Linked DNA regions of Drosophila melanogaster. The protein of the gene in region 2 interacts with the protein of the main gene of each other region in a pairwise test. Each region holds a gene or a part of one and is shown on either strand. Other genes may lie near its edges. The genes, in order: stl and CG12517.

Evidence for each region.
Region 1: the proteins of CG12517 (region 2) and stl interact in a two-hybrid assay, tested with the Drosophila melanogaster proteins (one large-scale study listed by BioGRID).

The regions. Positions count from the first base shown.
Region 1 is NT_033778.4:22,806,346-22,811,183, reverse strand, and holds the start of stl (stall), read right to left. Parts: upstream 3,325-4,838; 5' UTR 2,406-3,324; coding exon 2,229-2,405; intron 1-2,228. Other genes in the region: CycB (cyclin B), read left to right, coding at 4,503-4,538.
Region 2 is NT_033779.5:10,867,990-10,871,267, reverse strand, and holds CG12517 (uncharacterized protein), read right to left. Parts: upstream 1,102-3,278; 5' UTR 1,029-1,101; coding exon 612-1,028; 3' UTR 546-611; downstream 1-545.

The DNA.
Region 1 (4,838 bases), on a different chromosome or scaffold from region 2:
CCAATTAGACAGCTCAAACAGCTGTGTTGGGGTCACCAGCTCATCGGGTGGAAAGGTTAGTGCAGCAGTTAAAATGTATGTCTTATTCCCAAACATACATATATACCATTTAGCATCCATTCGCCGTATATTTTGTGGTGCGTGCGTCTGCTTTTCACGATTATTTAATTTAATTTGTTGTAACAGTTTTCATTCGGCTTTATTTTATTTGGCTGTTTGTGGAAAAGCGCGTTGGATTCGGCGGAGCGTGAAGAGCGTTTCGGCTCTTCGGATCGAAACTCCGCCTCCAGCGGGAGAAGGTGTTACAAATTGCCATTGTGGCGAATGTTTATTATCAACATTGTAATGCTGCGCCAAAAGAGGGCGTGGCTGGTCGTTAACCGCCCATGGGTATCCGATTATACTTAGATTAGCCTGAAGATTCTACTGTATGACTCTATTATCATAAACCAAATGTATTTCAGGATTGCCCGAATATGGGTCACATAAAGAATTTTCAATCAGTTAATAGTATCTTTAATTGGAATAATTATTAGGTATGAATGTAGTCACCATTCCACTAATCCGCTATAAATTCTGAATTAAAAATTACTCTGAGGTTGGACAGTTCATTGTATTGCAACTAACATATACCCTTTTTTCCACCTCCGGTCTTACCTAACTCTTCGAAAATCTTTCCGCTGAACTTTAGCAAAGGCAAACAATGTTCAATGAAATGGACACTAATTGGCTGCAAGGGCAACAGCACAGAAAGAGCAAATCAGTCGGCGATTGCCGGAAAAGCCCCAAACAAACAGCAACAATAAGCGATGACAAAATCGGGGGAAAAGCGGAAAATGCAGGTATGCTCGCTGTAATCGCTAGCCAAGCTGATTATGTGATGAAATTTTGCGTGACCCATGGGCGGCAGAATAGCAAAAAAAAATAAAAATAAAAGGAGTGAAGAGCGGAAAGCATACACTCGTATACATGGAAAATAGGGCTAAAATGGCGAAAACTGAAAAACCAACACGTGGAAATTATATCACAGAAAATTGTCTTCAGGCCAATTTGAGAGGCTGAAAGGAGTGCGGATGTAGGAAAACAAATGAAAAGGGGGAAAATCACGTAATCAAGAGCGCAACCAAGCGAATGGATTCTTAAGTATGACTTCAGAGGGTCAATAACTTGGCCAAAATTGGCAGCCAGAACCGCCTGTCACTCGAACTCGTTGCCAGTCTGCAAAATGCCTGGGAAACGTTCGCGTTTTGGAGGCAGCTGCAACGGCCAGCTGGTGGCAAGATTGTTTGCAATTCCCTGTAATCGTGTGATGAGTTCCTAAAATACCGAAAGAGACTCTGCGACGCCAGCTCAAATTAAATCCCCGAAGAATCTGGGAAAAGTGGGGGAAATGGGAAAAACGAGTCGTTGTGTACACACACATGTAATTCGACATGTTGTCGCCTTGTTGGCCAGCGCTAATGTTTATTGGGTTAAAGCTCTCGAATTACCAAAACATATATCCCAACAAAGATATACTTCAGAGGTCATTCAACGCCTTGTCTATGCGACTGAGTACGCGCCCCAAGCTCCCCATTTTCCCCCGGAACTCTGCGACCAATTTCTGCTTAGCTTTTCAAACTCAAGTTGAGTCAGACATTATGTTTTTGGCTTTTGCTTTTTTTTTTTTTGTCGCGCACATGTTCTGTCTATACGGCGATTTTTTATGCTCTTTATTGGTCACTTGACGCATACGTATGTAGATGGATGATCACCTGTGTTTGTAAATGGGTTAATCGTATGACATTCAAGAGCACTTACACTTGGAAAATATTGGTGATTAAATCGAGCATACGTTTTTTTTTCTTAATAAATAAATAAAATGACATGCTTTAGCTGTTTTAACCGTTAGATAGAAATTTACTAGTTTTTTGATATTTTTCCATTAACACTTTAAAGTTTTCAGTGTGATCGTGTAAAGATATATCGCTTATCATTCTACTCTGAGGCCACAGCAATAGTTTGATTAATATCCTGACTCACCGCAAACGTAAACTTTTACCATAAATACAATTGTCACATGATTCAAGCCTGACCTTAAGAATATAATAACTAAAGACATTCCTTGTTGATAAGCCTTAAGTTGCAATGAAAGATGTTCTACTTTTGCAGTTCGTCGTGCAGCCACAAAGCCAAAGTGCCATTCATTGGACGACAATGAGGCAGCATTGATTGATATCGGGACTCACCTCAATGCCATTGTAGTGCAAGCTCCTCTTGCGACGCAGCTCAATGTTGACGGATTTTGGATTGGTGGAGGAGGTGGAGGATGAGGAGCTGCTGGCCCCGATTAGCAGCCACAAGGTGGTCAAAACAATTAAAGCCAAACGACGGTGCCGATTAGATCCAATTGCTGCGACAGTCATAACGATGCGTTGATGATGACGGCTTCTCTGGGACTCCACAGGTGGCTATTGTAATGCTCCTAGTGCACTAATCGCTCTTTGTTGTGGCAACAACCACGCGACGATTGTTGCATAAATTGCAAATATATTATTCCTCAGGCTGCGCACCGATTTCGGTTTTTTTGCGTCATAATTTTCAGTGGTAGCGGAGTTACATTTTCCAGCGGCGAAAATCGAGGGTGGAAAACTTGGAGCCCGATTTCTCAAAAGGGGAGAGAGAGCCAAATGAAGGCGCGATCGTGTACGGGGCTCCAACTTTTACGGCTGTTAATTCAAATGTTTATGCACTAATTAATTGCCCAGGCATTGCATTACGAGTCATTTGTTGTGGGCCACTTTTTTTTTTTTTTTGCACTCTATCTTATTTATGTTTCGTTTTATTTTAGTGGCTGGTGTACTTTAGTTTGTTGCCTAAGTTCTTCCTTATGGATCGACACTCGAGATAAGACCAAATGGTGCTTGAAAAATGCTATTTTAGCTCCAGCTCCAGTTCTGAATTGCCAATATATTGTACATATAATGCCAGTCTTTTGTCATTTAAACGCACTTGATTTTATTTAAACGCCAGCGCACAATTAAGCAGCCAGCAACAAACACACACGGCATATAGATCATCGGCTCTGGAGCATAACGATCTTCTGGTTTTATGTCCATAGCCGAAAAGCACTTTATATGTATATTTTTTAACTAAAAATCGCTAAATCACGCCGAAATCTGACCGCTTTGGGGCATTTAAAATTTGAAACGATTTACTGGAGGTCAATGCGCGTTGGATCGATCGAAGGACTTTTTTCGTGGCGACGAAAGAGACGGCGACAGAAGCGCAGAAAGAGGCGGCGAGAGCGAGGCAACCACTCGCGACGGCGGCACTTTTGCGAATGAAATGTGAAAATCACGGAAAACTCGAGCTCGCGATCGTCGGCTGGCGCTCCATTCTCGTTCGGCTTTTTGGCCGGAGTTCGCAAAAGTACTTTTGGAGCGCAAACAGACTCATAAATATATGCTAATGAGCCAGAGCGCCGGAAGAAGAGAAGAAGAATGCGCCAACCGTTAAGACGCAGCAAAGGGCCACAAAAAAAAAACAGGAGAGTTTGGGGTACTAAACAAAAACAGAGGCAAAATTCTGAGGCGATGGCGATTGTTTTGTGGTCAAGTGCTTGAAAATGATGGAGCAGACGAAAACTTGACACTGATCATCAGCAAAAAAGGCTGCGGAGTGGCAAGAATTATGCTGCATTTCCGCCGCGGAGTTTCGATGTTCTGCGGCCTGTGGCAGCAGGAAATCTTAAATCAGCGAATGCAAATCAGGGGGGCACAAAAACAAACCGAACACAGCCAATTGAAGTGATCAACTTTTAATTGATGCAATCAATGGATGGTGCAACCGAGTGACGACTGGCAGTCAAAGCGATGGCTTTATTAAAATGGGGAACCTTAACCAACTATCAAATTTAATCCATGAAGTTTTCATTTTTAAAATATGTATAAAATGGATTGAGCTTGAATATCTAACAGAAATTTCAAACTGTAACGTTTTCTTTTTCGGCTAATTTTAAATTTAAATTTGAAATTTATGGGTAGCACTGTTTCAGCCCTGTCATCGATAAGCTGTGCACCAGTACTGGTCACACTAAAACTATCGAAAATTATCGCACGTATCGCATCTCTATTTTGCATGCTCTGCTCTAATAAATCGATTATTCTCGAGCGCCACTGCGGCTTAAAAGGGAACTAAGTCCAGAAATCGATATCGTCAAACTCATCGGCATTTATCATCGAGTTTACTTCCATCCCCATTCCCATTTTCAAATTCAAACGGCAGCTTGGCCTCGCTTCGTGTGCAAAAACTCGATCAGGTTTTCGGAGAATTGACAATCCCGCACTCGACTTGTAAATTATAAACTATTAGTAATCATATATTCGGACAACAAATTCAACAGCTAAACAAGCGTTCGGTCACAGAAACGCGATCAAAAGTCAACCAAACCAAGTGATAGCCAAGCGTCTGCCTATCTTCGTGTTAATTGTGTTTGTACAGATAGAAAAGAAGCAATCAAAATGGTGGGCACAACACTGAAAATGCGTGGCGATGAGGTGAGTTGATCCCTAGAACATTAAGATTACCGTGGCATCCGCGAAAAGGTCATGGTAAAGTCACAAACTAGTGGGCTCGTCATCAGCGAGACGCCATTGCAGCGTGGTCATGTAGAGAGGGGCAAAGAGGACGCTGCGATAGTGCGATGAGTGTGTGAAGGGAGGGGGAAAAGAAAGAGTGCCGTTTGTCCCGGGCGCTCATTGTTGTCGTTGTTGCAGTTGCCTTGCTCACATTTTGGCGCAATTTTCTACCGGCGGTGCTTGCACCGTTAATTAGTACTCTCCACACCTATTTTTCGC
Region 2 (3,278 bases):
ACTGGGGATCTGGGGACCTCTGAGGATCTGAAGGGGAACAACAAGATGGGCGCATTTTACAAATTATAATCGTCATTTGTCAGGGAGGCAGTGCACTCGGCAAGGACTCGCCACTCGGACTCAGTCCTTCACCCAGTTTCCAATGGAAACGAATATATATCAGGGGATGGGCAGTGGTGGTAGTGTTACATTCTGATTTTTATTGACATATTGAAATGACAAGGGACAGCACAGGGCAGACGATGAAAAATTGCTCGATAAAGTGAATTAGCAATGCACTTAGGAGGCGATTTGGAAATGGGAACAATTAGTAGTTTCAGCAGCTAGCAAAAATGTTACGATTTTCCATTAGTTACTAATTTATTAGCGACAAACTAATGCAGTTATTTCTGGCAACACTTGGCTTACTGTCGTATCTGCACACAAAAATACATCGATGATAATTAGAAATAATAGCAGTTATCCAAAGTATTTAAGTGCCATAAAATTAGAACGAACTTAGACAACTTTTGCAGAGAAAAGGGTAACTAAAAAAATTGTTTGGCATTGTTGAAACTGTACTAGTATTTTTAAAATTAAAGTTAAAATATTTAATAAAACCTTTCCCCAGGTTATGCCCTCCGCCTGCAGCGAACTCCGAATAGCTCCAAGCCAGGACGGCATTTTCGACTTGTGTCCAGCAGAATTTCGCCGAAGGCATAGCGCAAGGTCATGGTCAGATCCTCGATGTTGCCAATATCGCAGTTGGCCATAAGCGGGCCGTTGGCCAAAAGAGCCTGGCAGGCTGTGCCGGGCACCAATTGCTCATCGAATCTGGCCAGTGCGATGCAGAAACGCAGCTGCTGGCGCTGCATCAGAAAGCGGACCACCAGCTGCCAATTGGCGCCCGTCCAGTCCAGGTCGTCCTCCGAACCGGGAACGTAAATCCCATTATCCGTCCAGGATTCGGGATGCGAGAAGCGTTGCTGTCGCGAGCGTTCGATACAGATGATGAGCAGAAGGAGCAGTATTGATCCCAGGTTACTCATTTTATGAATATATATCCTTTGAAGTCCGTTTGAAAACTTTGCGTCCGATCTGCAGCAAATTTGGTTTTGAACTGAAATCGCCACAAAACTTCAAACATTTCTACGTGCTGTGTGATCGTTGGTTCGTATTTCATTTTTCAGCTTTGCTCGATTGTAACGTAATGCGCTGAAGCAGAAGTATCTGAAACGCCGGCGAAGCTATCTTATTAATAACTTTGTCAAATTACGAGCTTTATTTAATTTTAGATTTCGCAGCACTTTCACTATTTGCGTTGCAAACTTTGAGTCAGCATGGTACGTGACTTCCGATTGCATTCGAGTGCAGCACGTGGCAAAGTTTATTTTTTATTTAAATATTTTCATTTCGTTTGGAATTAGAATGCGAATGACGTCAGTGTTTGCTTACAAATAGATACATACATACGTATATAATTTAATCAACAGATGACACACTCCGGCACTTTTACAATGCAAACGAATGTAGAGAAAAGTAAACAGGATTTTAACCAATTAAATTGCTGTCCGAATAAAAACTAAAAAAAATGCTGTAATTGATATGTAATTTACTCAATATAATTAAAATGAATAACTCATTTGGTTGACTGAAATTTCCCTAATTGTATCTTTTACCAGTTCTTATAGCGCCATTTGAAATTCAAACTTGAAAACTGTGTAATTGTTAATAATTGGACAGCAATACGGCAAGTAAACAAATAAATATTTTTATACCCAACCACACATACAGCCGTATAAAAAACATTTGCATAGATATACAAAAATCGCCATAAATTCTCGGCGAAAAAAAGTGAAACTAATAAAAGTCATGGAACGTGCTGCCGAATTTTGGGATAGTGGCGATGCCCAAATTCCTAGGGATATCCCGATTAATTGGATTTATAGAACATGGTATACCCACAGCTGTCGCCGCCATTTGGCAGCACAAAAATCAAGTTAAAAAGATGGACCAAACGTGCTGAGCCAAACGGCAGACAAGCATTGAAATTATAATTTTTTAATCGTAAAAAATACAAAGCGACTGCTGTAACTACGTTTGTTGGCCAAAAGAAGAAACGCCCACTTTGGCAAGGGCCATTTGCCTATTTTTTGTTGTATATATTCCCTTTTTTTAAGGTTTTTTTTTTTGGTTTTTGTTGCTGTCTGGGTCCGGAAACAAATTACAGCAAACAATTTTAAAAATGTTTGCAAACAAACAGGAACCGAAAAAGGAGCAACACAAAGGGAAATGACGGAAATGTTATCTAGGCAACAAGACAACGGGCACAAAAGCGGAAGTACAGTGCAAATATATTTTTTGAGAGCGATGGCAAAACGAAATTATACGCCAACTGATTTCACTCCCTATCAGAAGTGAATGGCGAAATGGAAGAACTGGGCCAACGTAGCCAGGGAGCACTGTACTGGCGGCAAAGGCTTGACCAAACAACAGTCGGCCAAGATAAAATCCTTCATTGTTCGCCGAACGTTTGCGCCAGAGTTCCTTGCTCTGCTTTTAACCTTTTCGTTTCACTTAGTTAAGCAAAAATGAAATTTTTATTAGCAAAATGCAAAAATGAATAGAAAATAGTTAAACAGAGCCCAACTTCGGCCAGCTGGTGCACCTGTGCTACCCGGAATTTTTGCCACTTCTGGCACTATTTCTATGCTTTTTGCTGAGGTCGACGCAAACCTGGAATTCCAGTTCGTTCAGTCCAATAAATTCTTTGCGTTCTCCTGTTTTACAATTTAATTATTCCTGCTCTTCGAGCATATGTATACAGGGATTTCTTTAAGGAGAACAGATGGTTATTAAAGTGAGTTTCGATTTATCATCGGTGGCCAAGACAACGAATCCATTTTTCGTAGATCTACAATGATTCGGGCATTACAAAGTTTTACAGCACAGGATGCAAAGTTTTTGCGACATATCAATTAACAAATAATATACAAGCTGCCAAACAGAAAAGCCCAAAAGGCAAAACGATCTAAAAACTTGCACATGGCAAACTTGTTTCGGCCCAAGCAAATCATCAGGAAGTACGAGTGCAGGGAAAACCCATTTGCATTTCGGGCCATCGAAGAAGTACATGTATATATATGTATAAATATGTGTATATGTTGGCACTACCAGGAGCACTGAGTAGAGCATTTCTGGCTCTGCGCACTTTAAAAGTAATTTATCTTTCTTGCGCCCTACCCCCCTCCCCCATCCACCATCCACTGGGTATGTGCAACATGCAATTTGCATAAAAC